2 linked regions of the Lonchura striata genome follow. The main gene of each other region encodes a partner of the protein of the gene in region 2 in a complex. Links are inferred from orthologs where the notes say so. Each region holds a gene or a part of one and is shown on either strand. Other genes may lie near its edges.

Region 1 (5,554 bases), about 25 Mb from region 2:
CTACAATAACAATAATGATCATAATCTAGAGATCGCAGGAGGTTGATCTACCCTCCATGCCAAGTCAATTCGCTCCATTCACAACTGCGCATAATTATTCCTGAGACTGCAAAAATTACTGTCTTTTCACTAGCAATAGAATTGTAAAAATGCTTTCAACCTCAAGTCCTTATTTATTAAAACAAAACTATTTGCTCTTTTACGGTTCATGTTAGGTCTGGCATTTCTGTGCAGAGGGTCAATAATCCAGTCGTTCAAAAAATAGTCACGAAAGACGTATTAACATAAGCTGTGCATTAAGACACAATTATTTATATGCCTGACATTAATGGCTCTGCGCTGTGCATTGTATCAACTCACAGATACTTTAGCTGGAAAATAACATCACTTTGGGAGAATTTCTGCTCTCCCAAGGACAATTAGCATAACGCTAACGCTGAAACGAGAGAGCAATAAGGATTGACAGAGGAATGCTTCATCCCAGAGCCTCCAGAACAGCGGTGCCCGTCCCCAAACTTTGTACCCATCACAGCACGCTTCCCTCCGCTGAGCACACACAGCCCGTGCCTAATGCTTCCCCAATGCTTAGATTAATGAAAAGCGAGTAAAGCAGTTTCGAGATGCACGATCCTCTGCCGCCAGAGCTGCCCGGCGCGGGTGCCCAGCGGGACCGGCCGCGCTGCCCCGGCCAGCCGCTGCCTGTGCCCCGAGCCGAGAGCTGCCCCCGCTGCGGGCACTGCCGCGGCAGCAGGCGGCACCGGGGCAGCGCGCACCGCTGGGAACCGAGCGGCGCACGGCTCTCAGCAGGGCGAGCAGCACCCCGGGATAACGGGACGGCGCCGCGTCCCGGCTGGCCGCGGAGTTTGGAAACTCTCGGCAACCCCGCAGCCAGCGCAGCGCCCGCAGCTCGGCCGGGGCTCGGGGGCGAGTGCCGTCAGGGAGACAGCGCCTGTCCGGGCTGCGCGGAGCCGCGAGCAGCCCGCAGCGCCGGGAGCGGGCTGTGCCGCCGCCTCCCGCCCGCGGGAGCCGCCGAGCCGCGGGCAAGCAGCCCCGAGCGACGCGGCTCCGCGATGCTGCGCTGACCGGGTCGCGACGCGGCTCCAGCGGCGGGTCCCACCGCCCCCCGTTCCCCTGCCCCGGGGGAGCGAAGGACACGCCGCGCCGGCGGGGCTGCCGCGGGGCGCCCCGGCTCCCCGTCAGCCCTGCCCGCCGGGATGCCCACCCTTCACCCTTCACCCCTCCGCCGGAGCGGGCGGGCGGCTGCCGCGCCGCAGCCACCAGTTGCGCTTCCCGCTGCGGTACCTCAGCCAGGACGGGATGAGAAGTCCGCCCGCTGCCGAAGCCCTCTCGCAATGCAACAAGTGCCCGCCGGGGCGCGGCGGGAGGAGGCGGCGCGGGGGCGGTCGCGGTGCCGCCGCTCAGCGCTCGGGGCGCCCCGGCTGCCACTCACCGCGCCGCGCGCCCGGCGCCGCCGCGAGCCCGCCCCCCCCCGCGCGCGCGCGCGCGCGCGCTCGCTCTCTTGGGCCGCCGGGGACGCCGTACCGCGGGCCGCTACCATCAAGTGCACAAGGGGGGAGTAGGGCCGCTCAACCCGCCCGCCCGCCGCGTCGGGCCGGCCGGCGGCGGCGCGGTTTCCCCCGGCCGGGCGCGGTGGTGGCGGCCGGCGGCCATCGGCAGCGGAGGAGGCGCGCGGGGTGAGCTGCGCGCGGGCCCGGGATCGGGATCGGGATCGGGATCGGGATCGGGATCGGCCGCTCACCTGAGGGAGCCCCCGGGCCCGGGCCCTGCAGCCCAGAGCCGCCGCCGGGCCGTGCGTGGCGGCGCGGGCAGCGCAGCCTCAGCGCGGCGGCGGAGCGCGGTGTCCGGGGCTCCGGCGGGGTCTGAGGCGGGGTTGGTGTCGTTGCAGCCACGGCGCAGAAATGATCATCCCGGTCCGGTGCTTCACGTGCGGCAAGATAGTGGGGAACAAGTGGGAAGCCTACCTTGGCCTCCTGCAGGCGGAGTACACGGAAGGGTGAGTTTGCTCTGTGTTGCTGGACTCGCGGCCTGTGTGAGGTACGCGGTGCATAAGGTCCCAGACGTGCTGCAGATCATCTCCCCCAACCTCCCTGCCAAGGCAGGGCCACAGGCACGAGTGCAGGGTCGCGGCGTCATAAAAGAGACGTAGGGAGGCTAAAAACTACAGGTACATTCTGAGGTTGTATAACCAAAGGTTAGAAATTGCAGTAGGCAACCGAGTACTTATTTCTCCACTGTATCTTTCAGAGCAGCAGTGTGGAAGTTGCTCAGTCTCCAAAATGTTCCCAAATATGTAACTCTGTGCACATTTCCTTGTTTCTTCCCTTCCCCTTTGATATACCCAATTTTGACACCAACGTGATCAGTTTCTTAAAGGGAGAGAAGAAAAAGAAGTGTAAGAAATGTTTAGCGGTTTTAGTTGTTGGGGTTGTTTGTTTTTTTTTTAAGCATTTTAATCCAGGGATGCTAACCTTATTTTTAAGTATTGATTTGCTGGAGAAAGAAGATTTAACCACTTTAGATACCCTACTGATAGTCCTAACAACTCTGTGGTAAGAAGTCTGTGCATCCTTTGCATAGCCAGTTTCTGCTAATAGTTCAAGGAGAGTTTTAACTATCCTGACACTACCTCAGGAGCTTTGAGAATAAAACTTGAGAAATACTTACATTTTCATCAAGTATGAAACAGAAAAAAATACCCATGGATGTTTGCAGCTCAGAGGAGTGAAAGAGAAATTTACGTGATGTTGAAGTAGAAAGTAGATGTTAAGTAGAAAGCAAATAATTTGGTTTGCATTCAAGTGGTTGGGGATCCTAACAGTTTTACAGGTAAGTTTATTTCATATATGGGGTTAAAAGCATTACAATACCATGGGTTGTTTTTTTTTTTTACTCCTACTACAGTTTACCAGGGCTTTTTTGATAGAGCTTCTGACATATATTCTAGGCATTACATTTTAATATTTTCCCTATCTTTATTATTCCTCTGCTTTTGTATAGGAGTTCTGTGTTGTCGTTGACAAATGCTCACTTGAAAGCAATTGTTGTGGTCACTGGCTTGATTCTGGGATGCTTGTTCAAACTAATGCAATTATGGTGTTGTAAGAAGTAGAGTTTACAGAGATCAAACAACTAAAATCTTACAGTGCAGTACTGGAATCACTGGTAATGGTGGCTTAAGAAATGGATGGACAAAATGGGAAAACTTGTCTAAAGAATCAGTAGTTGAAAAAGACATCCACGCCTTTCTGTTTGTCCCTTAAAAGTGCTCTTTTCCACAAGTCCTTGGAAGCTGGAAGAAAAGGCAAATGCAACTAAAGTTGTCTTATGCCTTTGGAAATTGTGATTAATGTTAGTATTTTGCATCCCTGATAACTGCATATGAGACTTCAGAACTCTCCAGATAGCTTTTAAAATTTACCTATCAACAGACATCAGATGCTTTTCTTCTCAAGTGTTTTGGAAAACTGTTACATCATGTGATGTTATTTATAAACATTCTTTAAAATGCCCCACAGTGTTGTTATACTCCTCTAAAACAAGTTTTGCAGGTGCTGTCCTAGAGCGAGCAGCCCTGCTGCACCATCAACAGTTGCAAGGACTGAGTGACATCAGAGAAGCTGCTGGAAGTTGGCTCCTGCAGTTAGCCTGTACTGCTTGAAGCCAAACAACACTTTACCATGGTCCAGCTTAGGCAGAGGCTTCCTTTCAGTCATTTGTATTTTAGAAAAGTATCCATTGGCCTATTCCTACAGGAGAATTATGAGTTCCAGGAAATTAAGTTTGTTTTGAGCAAACGCTTTATTGCACTGCATTATATCAGTATCATCATATAAACCTGAGATCAGTCATGTCTCGCAAATGTCACATTCTGAAGGAGTATCAGACTGGATTTATGGTTCATAGGTTGCAGCTAAAGATCGTGGTGGTATCGTGACCTTTAAGAGTCTGATAGCCACAGCCATGGAAAACACCCACATTGGTTCGGGCTAGGATGACTCAACATCCTCTACCCAAACAGAAGAATCTGGAGCAGTCACTCCAAAGGAATTCAGTGGAATTCAGTAAAACACTGATTTCTGACCAGTCTGCACCTACTTACTTGTATGTATGTGGGGGGCAGGTTGTATAACTGAGTGCCTTCTCCCATGGGAGCTGGAAAGGATTGTAGCCATCCTCAGAATTAACATCCCTATATGGGGGAGGTTGCCTTCCGAGTTATTTTAGTTTCTGTATATCTCACCTTTTTAGTGTGGCTCAGATCTTAAATTTATCTTGTGAAATAGACAAGAATCATCCTCAGTTTACAGAAACATGTTAAAACAGTGCCCTCTGAAAGCAGTGGCAGCTGGGGACCCTTCTCAGCAGCAGATGATGTGCTCTGGCCGGCTGGAGAATGGGCAAACACACTCAACAACACTTAAATGGAAAAGGGCATTAACAGCACATGCTGAATTTCTGTCTGTCTTTGAACTGCAAACAAATTTTCCTCTATGACTGAGCTCAAAGTAATCAGTGTGTTGCTTAGGAAACGCTTACAAGTAGTTCTGACTCACTTCATCTGTTATGTTTTTTAATTGTTGTTCGTTAATAGAGATGCCCTGGATGCCCTTGGCTTGAAGAGATACTGCTGCCGCAGAATGCTCCTCGCCCATGTGGATCTGATTGAGAAGCTTTTGAATTATGCACCCCTGGAGAAATGAGATGGAAAAAGCACTGTGCTGCAAGCCATGTGGAACATATCTCTAATTTAAACTTGAAACTAAACTGGACTTCAGGCAGTAAAGGATGAAAGCCAACTGTAGTGCAACCATCAAGAGATGTTTATCTTCTGGATAAAACACTGCCCCAAGCCACTAACCTCTTTCAAGGAAACAAAGGAATGATGAAGTCCACTTAAACAAGATCTAGAGATTAAAAGTTTGGATGCTGCTTCTTAAATCCGTGTTTGGAGTTGTGAACTTCTAGATACTTCTGCTAGTAAAACCAAATGTTTGTCCAAGTAGAAAAACTATTATATTTCATTAAAATGTTGAAATAAAGGAGGCTTTTGCCTTGTAACCTTCCTACAGTTTCTGGATAAAGTGTATGCTTGGATCTTGTTGGTTACCTTAGAGGTACTCCTGAGTACCCAGCTCAGTGTCCTACACTAGGCAGGTGTGGGTTAGAAACACAGGACTGAACTGTGGTTCCAGTGACATGGAAGTGGGTAAGTTTGTGAGGCATTGCTCCAGAAAGCTGCTGGAGCCCGCAGAGAACACTTCCCACCGCAGTTAAAGTCAACCTGTGTTCTCTACCCCAATCCTTACCAAACACTGGGGCTGCTGTATCACAAAAACAGTGATTCAGATGGTGCAGTGCCTTCATTTAAGCAAAACATGTCTGAGTGTCTCCACGGAGAGTGCTAGATGTGAGAATTGAGGCGTGCTGGTGTGAACAGGATCAAAGTGCTGCTGCTGCCAAGCACCTGCACCCCTCTGTGGCTGGTACAAACATTTTCCACTGCTCATCGTGTCAGTGACTTCACATTGTGCTG
Region 2 (5,554 bases):
TATGGTGACACTGCTACACACACACTTCAAATCCAGGAGCAACCAGCAAGCTATTTTAAGAAATGCCACATGCCTTTGGGGGCTTACACTTCCTACATTCCTTCTGCTTCAAGGGTACAAAAACGGCAATCCTCTGTAATTATTATCACAACACTTGGGATTTCAGCAAGTTTGGTTTCCAATAACCAAGACATTAAGGAGAGACAGACCACAGTATGCTTTGTACATTTGATAACAGTTTGTTCCTGGTTGCCTCTGCAGCTCTCTCTGAAACATTGCTGATCTTTCTCCCAGCTGTGCAGTTACCACTGTAAGCTGCCCACAGGCAGCCAGCAGAGCACACTGTAAAGGTAACTACTTCTAGTCACAATTACACCAAAGATGTGCATTAACAAAGTAACATATATAATCTACACTGCAAGCATTAAGATTTTAGCTTTTTTTATATTGTTGTGGACTTCTACAAATATATTACCTTTATCACCCATAAAATCATATACTACCTATAACTGTTAACATCTAATATTTGTCCTTTATTACAGAGAACAGATTTCTAGCAATTCAGATTTGATCAGATGCTGACGTGATGCCATTGACACATTAGGCTCCTAGTCCAGCTTCCTAAAGTCACAGTTGCAGCATTTCTCCTACTCATCTTTGGCAACCTTTACGTAAATAATACATTTCTTAAATGAGACCAAACTTAATAAAATTGTACGATTTTACTGCTTAATTGAAAATTAGCCTAAAGCATACCTATCTGAAGCAGGCTCATTTTAAACTTGGCTTTTACTATTCCAAACATCGACACCTTTCAAAAGAACTTCCAGCACAGAAATACAGCGGAAGAAAGCAAGTCTTAGTAAATAGCTTAATCAAAAATATTTACAGGCATTGTTTTTGCCATTCAGTACTACTTCAGTCAAGAAAGAGAGGAAAAGCCTCTAGTTTACTACACTGAAATAAAACCTTTCCTTACAATAAAAACACAAATAAATAAGTGCATAAACAGAAGGACTGTTCATAAACAGAAGATCATAAACTAAAGAAGATTCAAATCACACGCATTCAATGTGCATCCTGCTGAGTAACTGCCCTCTGTGTAACAGCTGACTACTTTCCTAAAATTTTCTGATACAAAAGCTGACAAAATATCAAATCAAAGATATTATGCAATTGCATAAACCTAACTCACAAGCAGGTCTCTTAACATTTCAGATTAGGAAAAGAAAACTAAGACACTTTGCATTTTCTTTTGTATATTTTGTAGTATATCAAATACTGTAATGAAACTAAGTAGTGAAAATTCCAAAACCACTGCTCTGCCTGGAATGCAATAAAATATTTGTACACTTTAGGCACCAGAAACACACATAAATCATTGAGCAGCATCTGCAGCCCATGACCCACGCATAAAACTTGAATGTTAACTTCACTTTTGGGGAGACAGCTGTAGTCAGATCTTGGCAAAGCGCCATAAAATAAATACCACAACTCTCCTTGATACACTGGGTAAGAACCGTTTAAACACTCCTTTCCCCACGCAGTAGAACAGCTACTTTGAAGACTTTACAGGAGCACAGGAACGTGTGCGAGCTCTACGCCAAGGACAAAAAACCCCAAACCTTAAATAAACGAAAAAAAAAAAACCACAGCAAACCCAAAATTAACCAAGCAAAATAAAAAAAAAATAATAATAAAAAAAAAAAAGGTAAAGGGTAGGACAGATTCAAATGCAGGAGCAGATGAAAACCGTCTTTGTGCAATGCGTAGAAGCAAAAGAAAGCTCATTTACACGGGTAGGAGACACCCTCGCACCCGCAAAGCACCACCGCTCCGCAGCCCGGTGGCGACGGGGACGGGCGGCGCGGAGGGAAGAGAAAGCGATGGGCAAGGCCGGCCGGGATCCGAGGGACAAGCCGCCCGTCTCCCAGCCTCCGCCGCATGCACCTCCCAGCCCGCGCTCCGCGGCTCGCTCCCTATTTAAAGGCTGATGTGGTGTTTAAATGGAGAGGCGGTGACGTGGGGCTGGAAAGCACCTTCCCATCCTAGCAGAGTCTATATTAGAGAGCGGCAATAGCGCTATATAAACAGGGCAGCCACAGGGAGGAGGAACACAAGGAGCAGGGAGGCAGAAAGGCAGGGGGAAGCCATGATGGATCTGAGAGCCACAAACAAGGGGGCCGAGCCCGCCGCCGGGACGCCGGGTTTGTCTCCTCCAGCGCTTCGGGGCGGGGGTCGCGGCCGGGGGCGCGCCGGGGAGCGGAGCGGCGGCCGGGGGGGCTCGGTGGCAGCGCAGGTCTGTGTGACTGCTTGTTGCAAACCTCTGTGAGTACAAGTGCAGCAGCGAGCCACCCGCCAAGGTGCAGAAAGCACGAGAAGGGAACGGGGGAGAGGTTTGGGTTTGGGGTTTTTTGCGGTTTTTTTTTTTTTTTTTCTTCGTTCTCTCTTTTTAAAATAAATACTGCCTCGCTCGCCAGAGTTGAGGGCTTTCGCTCGGCTTAGCCGATCCGGCCGGAGTGGGATAAGTGCTTTTCAACCATCGTCTCCTTCTTACAAAGCAACATAAAATGGCTCCAGCGGAGCCCAGGCGGGCTTCCCCAGCGCCGCAGAACCGAAAGCTGGCTCGGGCGCCCCTTCCCCTCGTCTCGGGGCGGGCGTTAGCGCCCGCGCTGCTCCGGCTCTCGCCCCTTCCCCGGGCGCCTCCCGCCGGCGGCGGGCGCCCCCCGCCCGGCGGCCCTTCCTTCCCTTCCCCGCCGGACCCCCGGCCTCCCCGCGGGGCCGCCCCCGGGCCGCCGCCCCGCGCCCCCGCCGCTCCGCTCCCGCCGCCTCTCTCCCCGCCGCCGGGCGCCACAAGTTGGCTGCCGCCGCGGGGGCGAGGCTGCCCGGCGCCCCCCGCCGCCCCTGCCCGCCGGGGGGCCGGGACCGCCCGAGGCGGGCGGCGGGAGGGAAGGGAGTGCGGGGGAGGGGGCGGCGGGCCCCGCCGGCCACCTCCGCCCGCGCTGCCCCCGGGGCCCCCCTCGCCCCCCGACCCGGTCCTTACCACGGGGTTTGTGTTAGTCGAGCTCGCCATGTCCCGAGCCCCCCGGGACGCCCCCAACCGCGGGGGGGGGAGTCGCCCCTAAAACAATAAACCTGCCCGGCTGCGTCCCCCCAGCGCCCGCGCGTTCCGCCCCGGCTGACGGGCGGCCCCGCGGCCTGTGCCGGGCTCGCTCGCGGCCCCGGGGCTGCAGCCGCCGCGCTGCCGCCTCGCCCCTTTATATAGCGCGAGCCGAGCGCTGCGCGAGCGGCCGGCGAGCGGGGGACGCGGGCGGGGGGGGCGCGAAGCACCGCGAGAGCTGCCGCGAGACCGCGCCGGGACCGAGGCGTCACGCGGGCGCCCCGCCCCCGCCGCCATGACACCTACCGAGGCGGAAGTGGCGGCGCGGCCGGGCCCCAGCGAGGCGGAAGCGCCTTCGCCTCTCCCCGCCCGCCTGAGCGCGGGACGGACAAACGGAACCGCTTCGTTGGGAGAAGTCCTGCGAGACCGTGGAGTCCAGCCAATGGCCGAACAGCCCCGTGTCAGCTACACTAGGGCACTAAGTGTCACGTCCTTAAACACCTCCACGGATCATGCTTCCACCGCCTCTCTGGGCAGCTTATTCCAGTGTCTAATCACTTTTATGTGAAGAAATTCACCCTGATGGCCACCCTCAACCTCCCCTGTCCTGTCCCTGGTTGCCTGGCAGAAGAGATGAATCTCCACTTGGCTACCACCTTCCTTCAGGTGGTCATAGAGAGCAAAAACATCCCCCAGAGCCTCCTTTTCTCCAGGCTCAACAACCCCAGCTCTCTCAGCTGCTCCTCATCAGACTTGTGTCCCAGACCCTTCACCAGCTTCATTCCCTTTCTCTAGACGTGGTCCAACCCCTCGATGTCCTCCCTGAAGTGAGGCTCAGAACTGAACACAGAATTCAAAGTGCAGCCCCACCAGTGCTAAGTAGAGGGAGAAGATAAATGCCCTGGTCCTGCTGGCCACACTATGGCTGATACAAGCCAAGATGCCATCAGCCTTCTTGGCCACCAGGGCACACCTGACTGTGTTCAGCTGCTGTTGACCAGGGCTGGGCTATGGTGCCTGCAGCAGGGCACAGTGCTGGGAGAAGAGCTGGCAGCCCTCACACGCTCGGGCCCTGCTGTCCAAGCTGCGGGTGACAGCTGGTGCCAGGCTCTGCAGAAATCAACACGCCTCACCTCGGTCCCCAGGAGGTTGCTCCAAGGCAATTAAAAACTGCAAGTAATTACTACTAGACAGAAATGGCTCTTCTGGGCCCACGAGGAAGGGGTTCTGAACCCTGCTCAGCATTGTGAGCACTGGTGCTTTCCCTCACAAGAAGTTGATTAAAGGCTGCCCAGGCCTATGTGCCACTGTTGTAGGAGAGTGCTACCACTGGGGCTAGTAGCTGAGGCTAGAGGTGGCCAGGAAGAGGGAGGCAGCACAACCTAAGCATTTACAGCTGTCCTTCCTCAGGGTCTCCTCAAGGCCCACAGGTGCTTACTGATCTGCAATGTTGCTGCTTTTAACAGTTCTTCGTCAAGTCAGTGGCAACAGGATCTCCCATCTGTGCAAGAGGTTGTGAGAGCTCTGTCAGCTGGCTTAACTTCCATTCTCCCCTTTTTATTATCTTATTCTTCCATTCCCTTTTTATCCTCTTTCTCTATGGTAACCTATGAGAGGTATGTCGTATGGGAAAATCTTCTTAACTCTGAGTATTGTTCCATCTGTGTTGACCACTCCCACCTTCACTCAGTCCTTAGCACAACTTCTGAACTCCACTCATCCCTTAGATCTCCATCAATAACTCACTTGTGTGAAGTCCACTCAAGCATAAATGAAAAATAATGTTGAATTCTGATTTGGCATAAACAAGGCGTAGTAGGTTACATGCCTTCAACAATTGTGGTGGTGTAAACTACATTTGTTAAATAACCTTCAGCCTGAAGTCCTCTCTATTAGCTAACCCCAGTAACAAGTTCAGGAACTCCTGTCTGGTATCTTTTGATGGGGAGGAGTTTGTTAGTGGGTATAGTGGGTACAGGAGGCCTTCCTCTCCAGTTCCTCAAAATCTTTCATTTCTACAGGAATACACACTACCTTTCCTGCTGGACTGCAGGCTTTGTATAGGGACGTGACTGGTTGGTTTAGAGTGGGTTCACTGATTAAGTCATTATTCACTGTGCACATTGCTGAAGCCCTGGCCAAAATAATAGTATAATTTACAAAGTTCTACCATTCTCATCTGTCCAACCTCACCTTTTTGCTGGAGTTTTCCACCTGCATAGCACAGCCAATGGGACTGAGGAAGATCTGCCCACTCAGGAGCCCTAATTCGCGGTCTGATGAATGAATTACAGGGATTGATTGAGATGCTGGTGTCATTTGATTTCTGATACATCTGATAGGAATGTAGTAGTCTCTTGCAAAAAGTTTGTATTTCACTGTGAAACAAAACTGCCAAAATGACTGGCATGTTACCAGGAAAGAATCAGGTTGCCATTCATACCCCTTTTCTCT

The links. Proteins that work in one complex are often made in the same cells at the same time.
Region 1: GTF2A1 (region 2) and POLR2L share a complex: the UniProt entries of both Homo sapiens proteins name them as parts of the TBP-based Pol II pre-initiation complex. The link is inferred for Lonchura striata from reciprocal best matches to the Homo sapiens genes GTF2A1 and POLR2L.

Annotation. Positions count from the first base shown.
Region 1 is NC_134608.1:44,946,209-44,951,762, reverse strand, and holds POLR2L (DNA-directed RNA polymerases I, II, and III subunit RPABC5), read left to right. Parts: upstream 1-1,619; 5' UTR 1,620-1,694; intron 1,695-1,906; 5' UTR 1,907-1,919; coding exon 1,920-2,014; intron 2,015-4,612; coding exon 4,613-4,721; 3' UTR 4,722-5,084; downstream 5,085-5,554. UniProt on the Homo sapiens protein: DNA-dependent RNA polymerase catalyzes the transcription of DNA into RNA using the four ribonucleoside triphosphates as substrates.
Region 2 is NC_134608.1:20,386,052-20,391,605, reverse strand, and holds the start of GTF2A1 (transcription initiation factor IIA subunit 1), read right to left. Parts: upstream 3,215-5,554; 5' UTR 3,074-3,214; coding exon 3,044-3,073; intron 1-3,043. UniProt on the Homo sapiens protein: TFIIA is a component of the transcription machinery of RNA polymerase II and plays an important role in transcriptional activation. TFIIA in a complex with TBP mediates transcriptional activity.